Linked DNA regions of Tamandua tetradactyla. The protein of the gene in region 1 interacts with the protein of each later gene in a pairwise test. Links are inferred from orthologs where the notes say so. Each region holds a gene or a part of one and is shown on either strand. Other genes may lie near its edges. The genes, in order: POLR3C and POLR3GL.

What was found.
Region 2: the proteins of POLR3C (region 1) and POLR3GL interact in binary tests that used the Homo sapiens proteins (3 or more experiments, as listed by UniProt). The link is inferred for Tamandua tetradactyla from reciprocal best matches to the Homo sapiens genes POLR3C and POLR3GL.

What each region holds. Positions count from the first base shown.
Region 1 is NC_135330.1:1,316,710-1,327,579, reverse strand, and holds the start of POLR3C (DNA-directed RNA polymerase III subunit RPC3), read right to left. Parts: upstream 4,429-10,870; 5' UTR 4,070-4,428; intron 3,220-4,069; exon of another isoform or gene 3,133-3,219; 5' UTR 3,039-3,132; intron 1,973-3,038; 5' UTR 1,952-1,972; coding exon 1,805-1,951; intron 1,290-1,804; coding exon 1,034-1,289; intron 948-1,033; coding exon 762-947; intron 1-761. Other genes in the region: E3 ubiquitin-protein ligase RNF115, read left to right, coding at 4,677-4,778. UniProt on the Homo sapiens protein: DNA-dependent RNA polymerase catalyzes the transcription of DNA into RNA using the four ribonucleoside triphosphates as substrates.
Region 2 is NC_135330.1:1,430,056-1,440,563, reverse strand, and holds the start of POLR3GL (DNA-directed RNA polymerase III subunit RPC7-like), read right to left. Parts: upstream 3,968-10,508; 5' UTR 3,856-3,967; intron 2,672-3,855; exon of another isoform or gene 1,829-2,671; coding exon of another isoform or gene 341-1,828; intron 1-340. Other genes in the region: ANKRD34A (ankyrin repeat domain-containing protein 34A), read left to right, coding at 341-1,828; LIX1L (LIX1-like protein), read left to right, coding at 4,795-5,062. UniProt on the Homo sapiens protein: DNA-dependent RNA polymerase catalyzes the transcription of DNA into RNA using the four ribonucleoside triphosphates as substrates. Specific peripheric component of RNA polymerase III which synthesizes small RNAs, such as 5S rRNA and tRNAs.

The DNA.
Region 1 (10,870 bases):
AACCCTTGTAGAATCTTATACAATGCCCTAGGTGTTCTTTAGGATTGGCTGGAATAGTTTTGGTTGGGGTTTGGCAAACTATGATAGGTACCAATGTCTAACTGAACAGTGACCTACAGAGTAGCCTCTTGACTCTCTTTGAACTCTCTCAGCCACAACATGTGATTCTTAAAATGCTCTGTCTCTCTCATGTTTTCTGCATCTGATTTTTTACTGGTTGGTCTACATTTACATTTGACCTACTCTCCCATTCTTTCTGTAGAAAAATCTTTTAAAAATGTAAATTAGATCATGTCATTTCCCTGGTTTAAAATCTTTCAGTGGTCTTCCTTTGCTCTTAAGAACAGATGCTCCATAGGTCCTGCCTGACCAAGCCCCTGCCTGCCTCTTGACACACTGACCATGTTTCAGTTCCTCAAATACCCTGTATTTTTAATTCCTCACTGTAACTGTACTCCTCCACACCTCATCGCTGGCTCCTACCTCTGTTTCAGATCTGGCTCATATGCCACTTCCTCAAAGAAGCACGTGCCCTACCTAACCTGAGATAAACCTGGTCCTCTGCTCCATATTTCCATTACCCTTGCTCTTCTTTACAGCACTCATCAGTTTGTTATATATTTGTGCAGATATTTGACTACCGTACATTTCCTACACTAGACTAAGGGTGCGGTTCTTGTTGGCCCGTCACGACTGATTCATTCAATTAACAATGAAAACTATACGATTAGGATAATAGTTTCAGGGGTCAAATTTCTTACCGATCAAGCTCAGTTTAGGAACCAGGTACATGTCTTTCTCATTAACGATAAGGGTGGGGGCAGGTGGCGGTGGCCCAGGGTCTGAGTTCTCAGGGGCAGGCGCTGCGGGGCAGCGCTGCACGAAGTGCGTGTCGGCCAGGCGCACAAAGGTGTGTGCAACCTCGGAGTAATCCATGGTCTTGCCGTCTGCACAGGAGAGGAAAGGGGCAGTTGAGACGGCCTGAGACAGCTGGGGGTCCACTCCTGCAGCAGCCAATGGATACAATACTGACCCTCCATGGTCTCTGTGAGCCGGTCTGCCACCTTCTTCACCACAGCTGACATCGTCATCTTACCATTCAGCAGCAGCTCTTCCACGATCAGCTCGCCGGTGTCGCCGTAGAGCGTCTTGGCAGTGTAGATGTACCGGGGATACCTGAGCATCCATAGCACCCGGCCACACTGGGCCTCATACTCCACCATGCCACGCTTGTGCACTTGGTATACTACTAGATTATGCTGAATGAGGACGCAAAGGGCTTTTTTTACCTACGTAGAAAAGGAAAAAAAAGAGGAAAAGGCCTGACGCCATAGCTCAATATTACTGGCAATTTTTTGTCCAATAGCTTTCTAAGCATTAGGAAATCTAGACAAGAATGTTTCACTCCTTCCTTCCTTAATTGGAAAAGTTAACAAGAATCACATGTCAAGGAAAGAAATCCGGAAAAATTCCTCGCTATGATGCTCATCTGTCCTCTGAGCCTTATCCTTCAAAGCACTTTTCTTTCCCTCTATCATCCTCATTCCTTAAAAGTAGTACTGAGATGAACAAAACCGTCCTGAGTACATGAGGTTGGCAAGGGAAGGTGAAGGGTTTGCCTAGGAAGACACAATGAACTAGGAATTCCCTAAGAAGAGAAGTTTGGTGCCTAAGTCCCACCCTCTTTCCCACAAATAAAAAAAAAGCTGCACTGATTCCAGGGCAAGCTTTTTCATTTTCTGGGTTGGGGAAGAATATTTTAAGGTAGGTTAGAGAAGAGCAAATTAATGCCATCTAAACAGACCTGATCCAGCGATGTTCCTGTGTCATGGGCAATTGCTCTTAGTGGCTGACTGCCAGTTCTGATTAGATGGACTCCAATTTTTTCTACTATCTCTCCAAAGTGCTCTTGCAGCAACAAAGAGCACAGATTAATTTCTGCTTGAGTCATTGTAACGGGGAGATTTCAAAACTAGAAAGTAAGGGGGGGGGGGAGAACACAATTAATGATAGTAGCACAGAAAGTTTTTCTTTCCTATTGGGAGTAGAGCCACTGAGTATAAATTCGTGTACTCTTTCTGGAGGGCAATTTGGTAAAATCCAGCAAAAGCCTTACATTCTGGCACACCTTCAACCTGACAGTTTCACTCTGCGTACTATAAAAAGATGTCACTGTACGTTTCTTTATTCAGTGAAAAACTGAACAACCTAATGTCTAGTAAGGCATTTGTTCAATAAACTAGGGTCTACCCATACAATGGAATACTATAACATTTAAGATGATATAGTACAATATTGATTAGCATATAAAATTGGCTATAATGCATTAAGTCAAAAGAGCTAGTTACAAAACAAAATGTCTATTAAAAACTCAAGAGTGAAATAAGCTAGATAACAAAGTACAAATATTACATGATCTCACTAATATGAAAGTCAAAATAAGCAAATTCACAGAATCAGAAACTAGGATTTAAGTTACCAGGGATAAGCTAGGGGGAGGGAACTTAATGTCTAAGTTGGACAGTGTTCCTACGTGGGTGATGGAAAAGTTTTGGTAACGGATGGTGGTCATGGAAGCACAGCATTGTGAATGGAATTAACGGCACCGAATTATATATAAGAATGTGTTCAAAAGAGGAAATTTTAGATTGTCTGTAAGTTACTAGAACAAAATTTTTTTAAAAAAAACCACAATAAGATAGGACTGCACAACACAATGAACCCTAATATAAACCATGGGCAATAGTTAGTAGTATAATCATAATATTTTTTCATCAGTTGTAACAAAGGAACCACATTAATACAAGGTGTTACTAACTGGAGGGTGGGTATATGGGAGCTCGGCATTTTATGCAAGACTTTTCTCTAAACCTACAGTTTTACTAATAAAAAGTTCAATTGCTTTAAAAACAAAAAGAAAAACGTATGCACAGGAAAAAGGAAAAGACAGGAAGACTATACATCAAACCTATCTTTTTGGGATTACGCATGGTTCTAACTCTTTTTAATTATATAAAGTTTTGTGACGCGTCACAGACCTCAGATTCTTTACTTCATTGCTTGGAAAAATTAAGACCAGTGTTCACGACACACGCGGTGAACAGGCAGGATCATTCCCACTCCATGAAAGACCTGCCAGTGTAGAAGACGCAATTAGAAGGTAAAGGAGAGCTTCTCAACGTGGTATTTCAAATAGGATAATTCCGCAAATTCTATTCCCTGAGAAAATAAACACAAGCACAACTGATCGATTACGTGGTCACTCCCTCGTGCCACACTCTGCACCAAACGCTGGTTTACACCGATTCCTCCACATTCTTCGCAAGCGGAGTCTCTGCCCCGCAGCCTCGGCGTCACCGGACACGGCCGCCACAGGGTGCGCAGGTTTGGGGGCCCCGGGCCCTGCACCCCACGGAGAGGCCGCGGGGGGGTCCCGCCCGGGCCCTGCACCCCACGGAGAGGCCGCGGGGGGGTCCCACCCGAAGCCTGCACCCCACGGAGAGGCCGCGGAGGGGTCCCACCCGAACCCTGCACCCCACGGAGAGGCCGCGGAGGGGTCCCACCCGAAGCCTGCACCCCACGGAGAGGCCGCGGAGGGGTCCCGCCCGGGCCCTGCACCCCACGGAGAGGCCGCGGAGGGGTCCCGCCCGGGCCCTGCACCCCACGGAGAGGCCGCGGAGGGGTCCCGCCCGGGCCCTGCACCCCACGGAGAGGCCGCGGGGGGGGTCCCACCCGAAGCCTGCACCCCACGGAGAGGCCGCGGAGGGGTCCCGCCCGGGCCCTGCACCCCACGGAGAGGCCGCGGAGGGGTCCCGCCCGGGCCCTGCACCCCACGGAGAGGCCGCGGGGGGGTCCCGCCCGGGCCCTGCACCCCACGGAGAGGCCGCGGAGGGGTCCCGCCCGGGCCCTGCACCCCACGGAGAGGCCGCGGAGGGGTCCCGCCCGGGCCCTGCACCCCACGGAGAGGCCGCGGGGGGGTCCCGCCCGGGCCCTGCACCCCACGGAGAGGCCGCGGAGGGGTCCCACCCGGACCCTCCACTCTTTCCCGCGGGGCCCTGGTTCCACTAACCTCGGGGTCGCTGCAGTCCAGGGGCGCCCACCTAGGGACGGCGACGAGTAACCCTCCACCTCTTCACGCGACTGAGCCCAGGAAAATCGGGGCCTCCGGCCCTTCCTGCAAAACAACCAACCCGCCCGGTGTAAAAGCGCCGTCCGCTCTACCCGCAGCTTTGCGGTTTCCGGGGACGCTCTTCCTTTCTTCTCGTTGGAAAAGAGGCCGGCTAAGGCGGCGGGCGGGCCGCGGCTGAGGACGGTCCTCCCTGCGTCTCGTTGGTGCTGGGGGGTGGGGTCTCGGCTGAGGACTCTCCAGCCGGCGCCTCGTTGGTGCTGGGGGCGGGCCTCGGCCGAGGACGCTCTTGGCGGCATCTCGTCGATGTCGGGGGCGGGCCTCGCTGAGGACGCTCCTCCCTGCGTCTCGTTGGTGCTGGGGGCGGGCCTCGGTTGAGGACTCTCCTCCCGGTGTCTCGTTGGTGCTGGGAGGCCGCGGCCTGGCGGGCTCACGTGACCGCCGTGGCTGGGTCGCCCAGCGCCCTGAGGAGACGGCGGCCGCGGCTGGAGATAGCGGCTGGGGAGGGACGGGCCCGCTGCCCTTCGGACGGCCGCGGGGAAGAGGACAGATGGCGGAGGCCTCGGCGGCCGGGGCGGGCGCAGGCGCCGCCGTAGCCGCGCACCGGTTTTTCTGCCACTTCTGCAAGGGCGAGGTCAGCCCTAAACTGCCGGTAAGAGCCCGACCCCGGCCCCGCCCGCCCGGCCTTCCCGCGGGGCCCCGAGGCGGCGTCCTCCTCCGCAGGCTCTGGGCGCGCGTCGCCGCCTCTCCTCCCGCGATGACCTTCGCGCCGCGCTCGGCCCTGTCGGCTCCCGCCCGCCGCGCTCCTGGCTTCTTGTCCACGTGCCGCTGCGTCCCGCACCCGCCGGGGGGAGGCCGCACCCGGGACGAGCAGGGACTCAGGGAATTGAAGGATAGGCTGTGAGCAGGGACTCAGGGGGCCCTGGTGGCCGAGGGGCCCGAGGACCGCAGCGCCCCGACGGCGGCCGCGCGCTCCCGCCCGCTTGAGCGGAGTGACCGGGGGCCGCGCTGCAGCTCGGCCCGTGGGGCCCCTGCGGCGTCCTCGGCGCGCCCCTGCCCGCTCCCCGGAAGACGGCGCTGTCGGCGCGTGGGGCCCGCGAGGCTCTGGCCCCCGGGGTGGGTGTGCGCCGGGAGGAGGCGTCCCCGCGGCGGCCAGCTGCCCTGGCGCCTGCCCGGAAAAGCTGCTGCGGGGACCCGCGGCGAAGAGCGGGCCTCGGGGGTCGCGGGGGCTGCCTCTGGTCCAGGCCCGGGGTTCGCTGGCCTGGAGGCTGACTGCGGTTAGGGCTCGGGTCCGGCTAACCCATTAAGCCGCATGTGCTGCATGTGCACGCTGAGCTTTGCCTGTGATTTGGCTGTATACATGTGGGTTTTGTTTGTTTTCCTTTCTCCATGTTTCAGCTGGGAAGAGCGGTGCTGCTGGAACTTGCAGAGCTCTTTCACTGTGGAGGGGAGTCTGCATCCACCAGTATGCGGGGAACCCTCGACCTGTTGTCAGATAGGATGCTTTGCTGAACTTTACGGCCTCGTTGTTCCCACGTTTTAAGTCATTGTTCCCTCTCTTCCCTTTAAGAGTGAGAAAATCTAGTCCAAATTCTCACAACTTATCACTTCTTACCACTTCAAGTCTTCACTCGTAAGTGCTTGTAGAAAGCAGTAATTTGGAGGATTTTAAAAGTGATTTTTCAAGCCTTGTTAAATGCCTGAAGGAGAAATTCTTGATCTTTTAACTTTGATTTAGTATCTGTCATGCCTGTCTGAAATTGAGCCGAACACAGTTAAATATCATAAATATTGCTGTATGCGTACAAGGCCTCCTGCGGCATGTCCTGGGGTGGCATGGAGGAATCTACAGTCCCTGCCCTAAGGACCTCACAATCTTGTGGGAAAGTCAGCATGGGTAGGGAAAACATAATAACAAAGGTGACTGAGAATGGGGTAACAGATGCCGTAATGTTCGCAGAAAGGAGGACAGGATAGCATTGGCGAGGTCAAGGAAGGTGTGGCATGTGAGTTGGGTTGTGAAGGAGATGGGTGAATTCAGACGGGATAGAATAGCCTAGGCTGTGAGGTGGAAAAAGGAAGAGGGAGTCGAGGAAGAGGGGAGAGGCAGTATATCGTTGTTATGCTTTTCTAGGGAAAGGCGCCCTGAGGTCAAGGTTATAGTCGTGATTCGTGTATGAACCAGTGAGTTTGATCTTGCTTCCTGGCCGTCTCTGTGTCCTTAAGCCCAGATGGTCATCTTGAGAAGTTGGTTAGAAGGATGACCCGGCCATGAAGTGGCTGGTTCTGTGCAAATCTGTCTCTGCTAGGGAGAGCCAGCTCAAGCATTGCTAAGTCAATGCCCTGATTTTCATGGCTAAACTCAACATTTAAAAGTTTAAAAACATATGTGCATGATTTCTAAATGTTGTGTTAGTTAATTTTTTTTTAATTAATAAAAAAAAGAAAACAATCTAAATAAAAAATTGGTAGAAAGAAATATTACTTGAAAATATATGTGTATATCTCTATATGAAATATATCATTTAAATCTAGCATATATTATAGATAATATTCTGGGTACTGTTTGGGGTAATTTGTTATTTACTTAATATACCTTGGAGAACTTTCCTTAATAGGTGAACACGATCTCATTCTTGTAAGTGATCACATAGAACGCTATATGATAGAACCATAATATATTGCTATGTCCCTACTAGAAACATTGAGGTTATTTTCAATTTTTGACCATTTCAAAAATATGCTGAAGTTAACATTCTCACATAGATTTCTTTGTTTTTGTTTGGGTTTATTTCATAGATAGAGGATAGAGTCATATAGGTAAGCTTCATTGGTGTGTGACTTGAAGTTATGTACCCTCCAAACATGTTCTTCATATTAATTCATTCCTGTGATGTGAACCCATTGTAAATAGGATTGTTATGAGATTACTTCAGTTAATGTGTAGCCCAAAAAAACAAAAAAAAAACGTGTGTATATATATATCCATATATGTATTCATATGTGTATATGAATTTGAGATTCCCCCACTGTGAGTAGCCAGCCTGCATTAGGCATGCATGTTTGGGGAACTGGACGTGCATTACGGGAACCTGTGGTCTGTGTGAGGCCGGCCAGACCCAGCTCTCCTTGAAGAACGTTTTCCTCTCTCTTCACTGAATTTGCATCTGAAGCGGGTAGGAGCCGTTGGGTGACAAGAAGCAGCATCACCCGGAGCGCTTCCTCTGCCAGAGGCTGGGCATTTGTACCTCCTCTAATGAGCTACTTCTGGGTGGGTTTCCTCCCCGCGCAGTGGGGTGCCTGCTGGGGCGCCATCTCGGCCCCTGCCGTCTCCCCTTGTTCACTGAGACTGGGTGGAAAAGTACACAGCTCCCTCCCTTTTTTACCTCCCTCAGTGTTTGGAATCTGTCATTTCTTGGTACATTTGGAAGTGAGCGTGGCCAATCGCAACAGCTTAACCAAGGTTCAAACCTGAATCTACCTTTAGGTTTTTGTTTGTCATTTTTCTTGTTAGTCCTATTACTTTGTAGAATTAATTTCTGTATTAAGAAAAATAATTTTCATTACAGCTTCTATGCCTAATGCTGTGAGGTTAAGCTGCATGGTTAAATTAATTTAATTTGTTGGAATAACATGCCTTTCTACTAGTTCTGATCTATCCATCTCAGCTTCGTGTGTCTTGGGTTTGGATACTTCCTAATAAGAGGACAAAGCCTCTGTTCAGAAAGGAGATATTAAGAAATTAGGGAAAATCATGAAGGGAATTGTGAAATTTAAATGTATCAATGGTACTGTTTTCTGTCAGCTCTAATAAGAGTCCCTAGAAGGGAATATTGATTTTGGAATTTACTTCTTCATATTATCATTCAGTTCCCTGAGTCCCTTCTCATATTTTTCCATTTTTTTCCCTGTAGTTTCTGTTTCTTATCGGATTTCAGATGTTCCATCCTCCAGTTTGAAATTTAGTTCTCGTACTAAAAATGTTTTCCTATTAATGTGAATATAATTTTAGTAAAGTTTGGTGAGTACTAAACTTGGATTTTAAAGTAAGAGATTTTTTTTTTTTTAACATGGGCAGGCACCGGGAATTGAACCGGGTTCTAGGGCATGGCAGGCAACCACTCTTACCTGCTGAGCCACCATGGCCCGCCCAAGAGATCTTGATTATATATTCTGAAGCCTCAGGGTTTCAGGTTTATATATAATTGGGTAAAACGGCTCTGTGAATTTTTCAGTCTTTACATGGTAGAAGAAATATTAAGAGGTACGTATCTTAAAATTATTTTCAAACCCAGGAGAAGCTCCTGTTTCCCCACCTATCCTGTTGAGAGATAGTATGAAGCCAGGGTCAATGGGGATAAGTGTGCCAGATTAGGGACTCACCTCAGTGCACCTCATGAGGCTGCAGGTAAGGTCACTCCGCCTCCCACCCTGCCTCCCCCCCCCCCCCCGATTTTTGTACTACATTCAGGGAATATTATCTGGTGAAATAGAATCCGGTCGTGTCATTGTTAAATAGGTGGGATAAATCATATGCAGAAGTAATCTACTTTTGGTACAACTGAGCCTAGGGTAGTTTTTTTTAAAAAAATTATTTATTAATTAAAAAATTTAACAAACCAAATAAAACATTAACATATATAATCAGTAACTCACAATATCATCACTTAGTTACATATTCATCATTTCTCAGAACATTTTCATCAATTCCTAGGGTAGTTTTTAAGTGCTTTATGGAGATCAGTTTAAGGACTGCACGTGTGTCGTGGCCTCGGAGGCTAGCAGGCCTCTCTTCCCTCTCACATCTCCTTATTATATCACCTTCCTTGATCTAATAGAATGTGGTTACTACCAGTAAGTAACATTACCTCATTTGGCTCTTTACCAGGTGCTACACAAGTTGTTAATTTGTGCTGTATTTGTAATGCCTCTAATACAGGAAAATGTTCTGATTACCCCATGAATTGTTAAAAGTGAATTTCTTAAATTTTGTAACCCTTAAAATGCTAAACTTACTGACCTCTTTCTATGTTGCGTGATTCTTAGAAAGCTCCCAGAGAAGTACCTAAGTTAGGTTAGTAGTGTTGTTGTGTTCCATAGGGGAAGCAATTTAGTGATTTGAGCTGGATTTGAAAGATTTTAATTATTAGATTATCTTATACTCTGCTATTGGTGATTTACCATCTAAAAAGTCTGCTTAATTACCTTACCATCTAACTGATACTGTATAGCATTTTGCCTGTCAAATATTTCTGGAATGAATAAGTGATGTCATAAGTTGAACACCACCTAGTTGTATTTAGAAGTAGTGACTTCAGTGTTTTGAGATCTTCATTTAAAAGGGCTAGAGTGGTACATAATACATGTAAATCTCAAATCTTCAGTGTCAGTAAATATATCCCCATCAAGGATCTAGAAATAAGAGATACATTCTTGTGGCTATTTCTAGCCTTGATATTCTACTGATAAGTAGACGTGTATGTAGTGGGGAAATCTTGTGGGACTTTCTCAGTATGAGGAAGAACAAAATCTTAAATTCGCTGCAGATGATTGCAGATGAAATCCCTTGTATTTTTCTGGGAAGTACCAACTGAATGCATTTCGTGTTTGTGTTTGTTTCTTTATGACCTTTATTTGTGTTTAGGGAGAGATTGATGGATTCTTAGAGACAACCCTATAAGAAAGGTTTATAAGAAGAGGAAAGAAGCTGTGTTTACTTCTTGTTTTCTAGTCAAACTAGAAGGACCCTAAGGATAAGAAACCTATGGATGCTGGCTTCTTTTCCATCCTCCACAGCTTAGTAATGAGAAACAAAGGAGATAGTATAGAGGAGTGGCTCTCAGCTGAGGGTGGTCTTGCTCGCCGAAGGACGTGTGTCAGTGTGTGCGGACATGTTTGAATGTCATAACTTAGGGGGTGTGTCTGCAGGCACTCAGGGGTAGAGGTCAAGGATGCTGCTCAGACAGGCCACAGTGCATGGGACAGTTCCCCTCCTGCCCACAACAGAGTCCCCAGAATGTCAGGAGCTTTGAGATTGAGAAACCTTGGTGTAGAGGGAGAGAGGGATAGTATTTGCCTTCTAGTGTCAGGGTGCCTCAGGTTTTGTTCTGGCATAGCTTTGATTTCTAACTTTGGGATCCTGATGAGCTTTTCAGTAAGATGATTGAATGTTAGCTAAGGCCGAGACAGAAGGTATTAACCTAGAACGGGGACTAGTCTCAGAAATTAGTGACTGCTGTTGCATTATAGCAGTATCCTGTTGGGGGCCACTTTGTCTCCTTGTGGTGACAGACCTGAGGAATTGGATCACTGCTCTCAAGTTACACACGGCAGGGCAGCTTTGAGAGAAAAATGTGCAGACTTTTTGCCAGTTGGGAAATAATTGAGGTAGTAGTACCACATGTAATTTAGTAAAACATGGAAATTCTGGTTTGAAAACAAGGCAAAAAGCAGACAACAGGCTTAACTTTTAGTTTTCCTTTAACTCATCTTAGCATTAATCAAGTTTTACTTTCTGTGTTTCTCAGAGGTTTCGTGAGCTCAGAAGTTTGTATGTTTTAAATTCCGACTCAGGTGGAGCGGGTGGCCTGAAGTTACAGCGGTCCCTCTTTAATACTCGCCTTCATGTGACTGGAGCTGAGCCGCCTGATCCTCTCCGTTCACCTTAGTATATCTCACCATCAAGTGGTGCTTAGACGTACCTATTGGAAGCGTGAATGAGCATCTGGAGGAATGCAGCTTTGT
Region 2 (10,508 bases), about 110 kb from region 1:
CGTGCACGTATGCATTTGCACGCGTGCTCGTCCCCCCAGTGCGGGTGCACCCTTCCCACCGCCTCAGGCATGCGCTAGCGGGGAAGGGGCGGCTCGGAGGCATGGCTTAGAGGAAGGACAGTGTGCCATGGGGATCTGCCCCCGCCCCCCAGCCCGGGTCCTGCCGTCCGTGCCTCCGTTACTCTGCCCGGATCCGTCAATACGGTCTCTCTTTATCGCAGGGATCGACTTCGCCGCTGACCCCTCGGACCTCTGCCAGCCACCGCAGCGCCTCGCCTCGCCGTCCTCGGCAGGTCCCGGTGGCGGCCGCGTCGCCTCCGGCCTTGTCCCAGCCGCAGCCATGCTGCACACCGAGGGCCACGCTCTGCTTCGGGCCGTGGGGCAGGGCAAGCTCCGCTTGGCCCGTCTGCTCCTGGAGGGGGGCGCCTATGTGAATGAGGGCGACGCCCAGGGAGAGACCGCGCTGATGGCCGCCTGCCGCGCCCGCTACGACGACCCGCAGAACAAGGCGCGCATGGTGCGCTACCTCTTGGAGCAGGGCGCCGACCCCAACATCGCCGACCGCCTGGGGCGCACAGCGCTCATGCACGCGTGCGCCGGAGGGGGGGGCGCCGCCGTGGCCTCGCTGCTCCTGGCCCACGGCGCGGACCCCTCGGTGCGAGACCACGCGGGCGCCTCGGCGCTCGTCCACGCCCTGGACCGCGGGGACCGCGAGACCCTCGCCACGCTGCTGGACGCCTGCAAGGCCAAGGGCACGGAGGTCATCATTATCACCACTGACACCTCGCCCTCGGGTACCAAGAAGACCCGGCAGTATCTGAATTCCCCACCCTCCCCAGGGGTGGAGGACCCCGCCCCGGCCCCCCCTAGCCCAGGGCTCTGCACGTCGCCCTCGGAGATCCAGCTGCAGGCTGCGGCGGGAGGCCGGGGGGCGCTGTCCCCTCGCGCCCAGGAGGAGGAGGAGAGGCGGGACGTCTTTGAATTCCCGCTCCCCAAGCCCCCCGATGACCCCTCCCCTTCCGAGCCACTTCCCAAGCCACCCCGCCACCCCCCAAAACCACTGAAAAGGCTCAACTCTGAGCCCTGGGGCCTCGTGGCCCCCCCTCAACCGGCTCCGCCAGCCGAGGCGAGGCCCGGGCTAGAGCGCCTGACGGCCGAGTTCAACGGCCTCAGCCTGACCGGCCGCCCCCGCCTCTCCCGCCGTCACAGCACCGAGGGCCCAGAGGACCCGCCTCCGTGGGCGGAGAAGGTGGCGGGCGGGGGGCCCCTCTCCCGGCGCAACACGGCGCCGGAGGCGCAGGAGCCCTGCCCCCCTGCAGGGCTGAGGCAGAAACTGAGCCGCATGGAGCCAGTGGAGCTCGACGGCCCCGGACATCTGTGCCCCGACTCGCCCGAGTGCGGCCGCCCGTCCCTGGAGCGCCGCAGATACAGCGCCTCCCCACTGACCCTCCCGCCCGCTGCCTCGGCCCCCTCCCCGCGCCAGTCCCAGGAGAGTCTGCCCGGGGCTGTATCCCCGCTGAGCGGCCGGAGGCGGAGCCCCGGGCTGCTGGAGCGGAGGGGCTCAGGGACCTTGCTCCTGGACCACATCGCGCAAACTCGGCCTGGCTTCCTACCGCCTCTCAACGTTAGCCCCCACCCCCCCATTCCCGACATCCGCCCCCAGCCCGGAGGTCGGGCGCCTTCGCTGCCCGCCCCTCCCCACGCGGGGGTGCCAGGCTCTCCCAGGGCCAAGCGCAAGTTGGTGCGGCGCCACTCCATGCAAACTGAGCAGATCCGCCTGCTAGGGGGCTTCCAGAGTCTCGGTGGGCCGGGGGAGCCGGGGCGCTGAGACACGGGAGAGGAGCCGGGAGGCTGGGGGTCAGGGCCTGAGGACTAGATGGGGGAACAGCTCGCACGCATTGCACAGGGTCACTTGCATGTGCTCATGGGCACGCTGCACGCACACGTGGGTAAACGTGTTCACAAGCACAGTACTATTTGTAGGAAAGGGTAATCTCTATTTACTGGGCCTATAGACCCATGCCTTCATGCCCTGCTCACTTCACACCTATATGAAATCACTTGTGTGCCCAGAGGCATGGCAAACCAATAAACACACAGGGCCACTTGTGCGAGGACTCCACACGGACCCCAAACTCGCTCGCATTTGTCAGAAGCAGTAGGGAGGTCCTGCCTATGGGTAGTCCTTGCTGTATTTGCCCTCCTGCTGAAAACGTCCCCTAAATGGCAACCCCCTGCTTTCCACGTGTGCCCTGTAACACAGGCGCCATCATGACTTTACACACACTCCCCTCTTCACAACTGCCCCACCCTGCTCTGCAGGCCTTGCTTTTCCAGGGTGGGCTCCCTGTTCACACACTGCGTCCAGCCCCATCCGCTTTTGAGGATTATCTTCTTCATTCTTCTTGGAGGTTTCCTGTGGTAACTCCCAACCTCACTTCTGCTGATGCTCTTCCTGCTCTCAGCTTCCCTTCTCAACTCCATGCTTTTCATGCCTGCCCTGTTCCCCCAACTAATACACCACAGCAGGTTGTCTCGTTTTCCCAAAGGGCAGGTTGAGCCCTTAGCTGCTCTTCTGTTTTTGTCTGAGCTTATGAACACCCCCACAGGTGAAGTGGGGGGCAATCCTAAATCACTTCTCTCTCCACTTGACATATCAAATAAAAGTGTTCAGAAGTCTCTGCTTTGTCACTCTTCTGCCTGGGAGTGGTAAACATGGGATATGAGAAATGGTGGGGAGGGAGGGTGATGCTGACCAAAGCTATAATGATCCAGGAGATATTTAGAAGTTCCAGCCACCTACTTTCTAGGGGGCCACATGACCAACCGTGTTTGTAGAAGGAAAAGTAAGTGTTCTGAAGGCTTTAAGTCATTTAACTGGGTTTTCTTCCCCCCATTCTCTCCCACATCCCTTCCCAAGCTCTTTAACTTAGATCCCTACAGCTCTGCCCTCAACAGACACATTTCATTAGATTAAATGTCCCTCTTCCAAGCTTCCTATTTCTTGATCACTCCGTGCTTTTCCTTGGGGGTATCTCTTATTCATTTTCTTCTACTTCTGGCCTCTTTTTCCCCATTATTGATTTCTGAGTCACTGTAGGGCACAGTGAGAAAGAGAATAAGGGAGGTGGGGGTGGGGTGGAGAGGAGTACCTAGAATAATTTCACCTGTGTAAACATGACATGATGGTCAACTGACACTGGGTGTGCAGGGAGTGTGTAGGAGTAACCGAAGAAGCCCAGCCTTGGAGGGCCTATGAACAGGGTCACTGCGCTAATCTATCCTCTCAGTTGGCTGGGTTTTTACATATATTCTCTTTTCACTCTACTGGGAGGTGAAGGTTGTTGCCCATCCTACTTTTACTCTCTCCTCCAATTTAGGTCAAATGAGAAAGTCACTGAACAATGTGGTGTAGTGAAAATATCAAAATACTGGGAGTCAGAAGACCTATCGGTCTGAATCTCGCTTTGCCATTTCCTAGCTATTTGATATAGGGCAATTTATATAGTCTCTCTGAACGTCAGTTTACTTGTCCATAAAACAAAACTGAATTAGTGATTGAGATTATTAAATAAGACAATGCAGTAAAGCCCATCGCCTAGTGCCTGACGTAGAGCTTAAGAGTCAGCTCATTGTCAGTATCTTTCCTTGCTTTGTCTCTACCATCAATTGCGTGTGATCTTACACACCACTTCTCTGAGCCAGTTTCTTCATCTACAGCTGTCAAATGAAGTAGTCGGGCAATTACTTTTAAGAATCCTCTCACTCTGTCTACAGTTCTCCCCAGCCTTGTATCGACTCCTACTTTTTCTCTAAGCTCCACCCCAGGGGTCTGGCCCGCTTTCTCGTACTCACCACGGGATCCCCAAAGACCGGCCCAAGTCCCGCTTCTCCCTTGAAGAGGATGCAGCTTCCCCTCTGCGATTGGCCGCGAAGACCCTCCGCCTTCCGCGGTAACTCGCCTATGGCTGGCCTGGATCCGGCAGCCCCCGCCCCTCCTGATGACTGGCGTGCGGCCTGGCTTCTCCCCGCCCCCTCCCTGGTGACTGGCGTGCGGCCCGGCTTCTCCCCGCCCTCTCCCTGGTGACTGGCGTGTGGCCCGGCTTCTCCCCGCCCCCTCCCTGATGACTGGCGTGCGGCCCGGCTTCTCCCCGCCCCCTCCCTGATGACTGGCGTGCGGCCCGGCTTCTCCCCGCCCTCTCCCTGGTGACTGGCGTGCGGCCCGGCTTCTCCCCGCCCCCTCCCTGATGACTGGCGTGCGGCCCGGCTTCTCCCCGCCCTCTTCCTGATGACTGGCGTGCGGCCCGGCTTCTCCCCGCCCCCTCCCTGATGACTGGCGTGCGGCCCGGCTTCTCCCCGCCCCCTCCCTGGTGACTGGCGTGCGGCCCGGCTTCTCCCCGCCCCCTCCCTGATGACTGGCGTGCGGCCCGGCTTCTCCCCGCCCCCTCCCTGGTGACTGGCGTGCGGCCCGGCTTCTCCCCGCCCCCTCCCTGCTGACTGGCGTGCGGCCCGGCTTCTCCCCGCCCTCTTCCTGATGACTGGCGTGCGGCCCGGCTTCTCCCCGCCCTCTCCCTGATGACTGGCGTGCGGCCCGGCTTCTCCCCGCCCTCTTCCTGATGACTGGCGTGCGGCCCGGCTTCTCCCCGCCCTCTCCCTGATGACTGGCGTGCGGCCTGGCTTCTCCCCACCCCCGCCAGGCTGCTGCCGCCCGGCCCCGCCCTCCGCCCCTGGAGCTGGCCGGGCCGCTGGGCAGTCCCCTCGCCGGACTCCGGGCCGCCGCTCCCGCCGCGGCGGATGGAGACGATGCGCGCCCAGCGCCTGCAGCCCGGAGTGGGGCCCGGCGGGCGCGGCGCTCTGCGAGCTCTGCGGCCCGGAGTGACGGGGGCCGCGGCCGCCACGCCTCCTGGGGGCCCCCCACCCGCGCCGCCGCCCCCCGCGCCGCCGCCCGCGGCCCCCGGGCTGCCCTTGCCTCCGGGAGCGGCCGGCGGCCCCGCGGTGCTGCGCGAAGCGGTGGAGGCGGTGGTGAGGAGCTTCGCCAAGCACACGCAGGGCTACGGGCGAGGTGAGTGCAGGCCCTCGCCCCGGCAGCGCCCCCCGCCCCCCGCCCGCGCCCCGCGGCGTGGCCGTCGGGGGCTCCTTTGGGGCGGCCAGCGCGCACTCGTGCACCCCTTTACCGAGCGGCCCCCTCCTTCCCCTGCGGCCCCGCGCCCCCGCGCCCCGGCCGTCTTTTCTTCCCCGGCCCTCCCCCTTGTGAAGTGGGGCTTGTGTAAAGTGCTGTCTCAGCACCCCTCCCCGTCGAGGGCCAGGCCCGTGGTCTGGGCCGCTCAGCCTTATCTTCGATCCCGGACTTTTCTCAGTCGTGTCCTCGCGGACTGTCCCCAGCGAGCCCAGCGATTCCCCAAGCCCCCCGCTCCGTCACTCTCTCCTTAACCTTGACTTTCCAGTGCTTTTCCTACTTCCCTCGGCAACTTCCTGCACAACTTCAGGACAACCTGGCGCCTGCGCGCGCCACTCGGTAGCTGCGCCTCCAAATCTGGGCCCCCGGCGTGGCGCCCACCCCAGCCAAGTGTCTGCGCGCCCGGCCGCGCCCCTGGCCTCCGGCCGGCGGGCCCCGCGGTCCTGGCCCTTGCCCAGGAACTGAGCATAAAGCCCAGGCCCGGGCGCCCCGAGTGCTCACTTCTGTGGAGATGAGCCAGGCAGAAACTCTATTTCCATTAGAAATCTTCATCTTAGAGATGCCTCATTTGTACGGTTTCTGGCAAGGGGGATGGGAGGATTTTCTCTGTGGTTTTTATTTAACCAGTTTCTTTCTGAGCTGAAGTTTCAGATTTAGTGTAACGGACAAGGACTATCTGCTGAGGGGTGAGGAAGGCAGCTTTTAGGTCTGGAATTTTAAGACATCACTTCTGTCTGCTCGGCCTGGAAATGACAACGCCTTTGGCTTTCTGGTTTAACAATAATGCAGAGACACTGCAGGGCTGTCCTTAGATGGTGACCACTTGTTTTGTCTGAGAAAGCCCAGCTAAAGGGGCACGGGTTTTGGAGTCAGGCAGGTCTGGATTCAGTCCCAGATTACATCTTTGCCATCCTGTGTTCTTGGTGAAGTGACTCAATTTCACTGAGCTTCAGTTTCTTCAAGGGTTATGATTTGGATTAAATGACACATAATGGGTACTTACTAAATGATAACTATTATTAATATCTAAAATATATTGGTTTATATTTTCTTGGGAAGAACATATCTCATTTCCTCCCACTCTAAATCTGTACAGTGTAAACTCAAAGATTTGTATGAAAACAAAATTTTAGGTCCATTTTGCTATTTATATGTCCAGTGATTCATTTATGATCATTTTCCTTCATTTTTCATGTACTTTGAATTTCTACCATGGGGCAGGCACGCTGCAAGGTACTGGGGATGCAGTGGATGTGCTTTTGGAACTCACCGTGAGGGGATAGAGTTCTTTTTCTACTTTAGTTTCTGGTTTTTAGAGGACAATGTGATGGAACTGCCATCCACTGTGTCCTGCTTCAGATCTATAGGTGGAGGCCAAGGGACAGCCTCTGGTTCTGGGTATGGGCATGGCCAGGACTGGCAGTCTGACATCTGACCACTTCCTCTGGGGAAGATAAGGCATTTATTAAAAGTCTACAATGTATCCTTTCTTAGTTGTGTTACCTGGAAAGCCTCTAATCTGGACACTTTTTTCATTTCCCTAGAAAGGATGGGGAACAAGGGAGTTGTGCTGACATCGAGCAGTCAGTCGCGCTGTAGGCTGTGTGGAGACCCCTCCTCCAGCCCCCCACCTCCCACCGCAGGCCCTCCCATGATGCTCGCTTCCCGTTTCCAGTCTGGATATCCAGCCAGTACTTTGGAAGAGTTTGGCAGATAGTTAAACTTCAGGCAAGCGAATCTCTGCTGATTTGGCTTAGAAGTCCATCCCCACATGGAATCACTTATTCTGCTCCAATGAATAGGCAAAGCTGCCGTTGGCATGTCCCACACGCCCATGTGACTGATGGCATTTGGTGTTTGGGGGCTGGCTCTGCTCTCCTGAGTACAGCATATTTTGGCCTTTGCCCAGACCGTTTCTTGGACCAGCAGTGTTTTCCTGCACCGTCTTCAGTGCACACCCTCCATCTTCTTCACACTCACCCTTTACCCCATTCTTCTAGGATCTCAGCGTTTCTTCAAAAACTCTTCTGGAATTTCAGCTGTTTGTCCTTTTATTACCTATCCACTTCCAAAGATACACGCACAGCCCAGTATGCTGTAGGATCCTGATCAGTTCTGGCTGTGTGATCTTGCTTAATCTCTCAAGACCCCATAGTTTCATTCATTCATTCAACAAGTATTTATTGCTCAGCAGACGCAGTGGTGAACAAGACAGCTTCTCAGTCCTTAGTCTCGTGGAACTCACATCCACTTTCCAAACAAGTGTGAGGATGAATGGTGTAGTAAAGCAGGAGAGTACAACAGAAAGTGGGTTGACTTTGAAGCCAAACAAACATTGGTTCTAAACCCTGGTTCTGCCACTGTGGTGTGATCCTTTTTACTCTCTGTAAATGAGCATCGTCATACCTGTCTTGATGGCTCTGTGTGGATTGAACAAGACAGCGAATATAAAGTTCCCAATCCACGTGGTACCCAGTGAGTGGTTGCTGTCATTATGCATCTGGAAGTTGTTTGAAGACTCTGCACACGACAGGTATTGCTAACACTCTGCCTCCTTTGTCCCCCCTTTTCCACATGACATAGAGCCACCTTCTTGCAATGCCTGACAGCTAGCAATCCCCAAACCAGCATAACTGACTGAATGGCCAAGTCACTTTCCTTGCTGTGTAACTGCTGCATTGCTCTCTTCAAGCCTGATTTTTTGAATTATTGCCCTCTCTTTATGTTATAGTATGGCTACGTGATTAGAGGTTGTGCCCCGCTACTTTTCTAGGTTGAACAAGTGTCACTTGAATGGTATTTTCTGCTTTGTTGTCCTTTCTCCTCAGAATTACAGGCAGCTTCGCCTGAAAGTGACCGTGGGGTTAAAATGATTGGTCTGAATATTTCCAGTTTGGGAAACTGTGTTGTCCCCTATATTAGTTTCCCATGGCTGCTATAGCAAGCTGTCACAGACTTGGTGGCTTAAAATGACAGCAATTTATTCTCCCAGAGTTCTGGAGGCCAGACGTTTGAAATCAGTGCATGTGGACCACACTCAGGGTGCCGGCCATGCTTTCCCCAGGGGCTCTGGGGAAACCTGCTCTAACCTCTTCGGATCCTGGCGGCTGCTGGGACTCCTCGGCTTGTGACTGCGGCGCTGCCCTCTGTGGCCACTTGCCTCTCCTTCCCTGTTAGGATACTTGTGTCTGCATTCAGGGCCCACTCAGACCCCCAGGATAATCTCACCATTTCAAGTCCTTAATTTAATCAACCCTCAAAGTCCTTGCTGCCGGAGGTCACACTCGCAGTTCCGAGGACTAGGTTATGGATGTGTGGCACATACCAAAGTCCCTGTGCCTCGGTTCCTCTCTTCCAAAGAATCTACTCACTGAGTCTCCACTTGCTTCTCTTGCTCCTCCCGGGTAGCCCTGGATTTGTGTGGTTATTTGAAGAAGGGGTCTGCATCTTTATATTTATACTCTGGCATAGTGCTGTTTGTTCTCAGAAGCTGCATATATTTTACAGATCTCTTTTTAATCTGCTCAGGGTGCCTGGGTAGTTCAGTGGTAGAATGCCCACCTTCCATGCGGGATACCTGGTTTCGGTTCCCAGACCACGCATCCCCCCCAAAATCTGCTCAGTGGTGTCCATGAACGAACAAAATAAAACATCAAGTACTGCGGCTTTTCTATTATTTATGCTCAACAGGTTCCTAGGGTGCAGCAAACAAGTCTTTCTGGGATGGGTCTGGAGGAGAATTTTGGGGAGAAAACAAGCAGTTATTTTAAGTAGTATCAAGTAAATGTGGGTAGAAGTGCTGTGGAAGACTGAATTTTTGGTGTTTTGAAATGCACTGAAAACCGTGTTGTAATTGCATGTTCATGGCTCTGCTTTCCCAGTGAGTAACAAATTTCTGGACTGGAGGATCACAGTTCTGTGCACCTAGGAAGAAACAAGCATGAAAGAAATCACAGCTGATAGAAGGCGTGTAGTATGATTGGGTGATTCAGAGATACCTCCTAAAAACTGAAGTGTCAGGTGAAATATTGTTAAGCAGCTTCCTTATCTTGCGTAATAATGTGAGTTAAGACAGGACGGCCTATTCTCGCCATCCTGGCGTGAGCAGCAAGAACCTCCGCACTCACCTCTCAGTGTCATTGTCTGTTTACCGTCTATTTATCCGTGCTCCCCTACAACGAAACTGTATTATGATGACGTAAACGCCTTACTCTGGTTTCATGTGTCCTTTTGTGTCTTTACTCTGGTAGACGTATGATCTGGACCATTTGTTCCTCCTAGACATTCATCTATTCCTTTATCTCCTAAGGGCAAAAACCAAATTTACTCTATTTCGTTGTTGTTGTTCAACATCACGATACAAGCAGTTAAATATTCGTCACTCTTGGTCTTGTTTGTCCTTTTCAGACAGAAGCAGTTATGTGCGTGTCAGTCAGTCTCACCTCCTGCCTCACTGCTACCTCACAGCCCTTAGGAAAACCTCGCACCTGTGGTTCCTCTCGGAAAACCTGATAAAAACTACCGCCCCCCCCCACATATGCGTAGTCCTGTGCACGCATATCCAAAATTTTACTTATAGCTTTAGGGGGCTTTGCAGACCCTCAGGAGGCTCGACCATGGACTGGGCCTTGGATTCAGGGTGAGATTCCATATGGGAAGTAACATCAGCATGAGGACACGTAGATTTGTGCCCAGCTCTGCGACCTTGAGGTGGCCCCTTCTGTAGCGTGAGTTGAACATGTTAATCTCTGAAGTCCCTTCCAGCTCTAAAAATGAATGAATCTATAAGCATTTCCAAACACAGATCACAGTTTTTATTTTTTCTGACCACTTTCTCCAGTTTCTTATTCCATCCTCACATTTCTGAAAGAAGACTTTAGCTTTTAGAAACCATTAAAAAGTGACCCCTACCCTCTGTGCCAAGAGAAACTTAACTGAATGTAGAATGGACATGTGCTTTTCAATAGGACCTTCCCAGTGTGGTGGTCCCCTCTCCTTCCTCTTTATTCCAGCATTCTCCTGTGGCTTGCTGATGGAACAGCTGTCACCCAGTGCATTGTGTAAAATTGCCTCAAAGAGGGAGCTGAGGCTGAAAAGACCTCAATTGAAAGACAAATATGGCTAAGTTTTCCGGGCAGCAGTGACCTTTGAAAAGCCCCTGCCAAAACTAAGGGTGGGAAAGAGTGAGTTTCCTTTTCATGCTGTCTTTTGGTAGAAGAATGAGCATCTTAATAAGTCAGTTAACTATAGTTTATGCTGCTTTTCAAACTCTGGCTGCTACATAGCATGCTTACTTAAGTTGCAGAGCTGGTGAGATACATTTTATTAATGC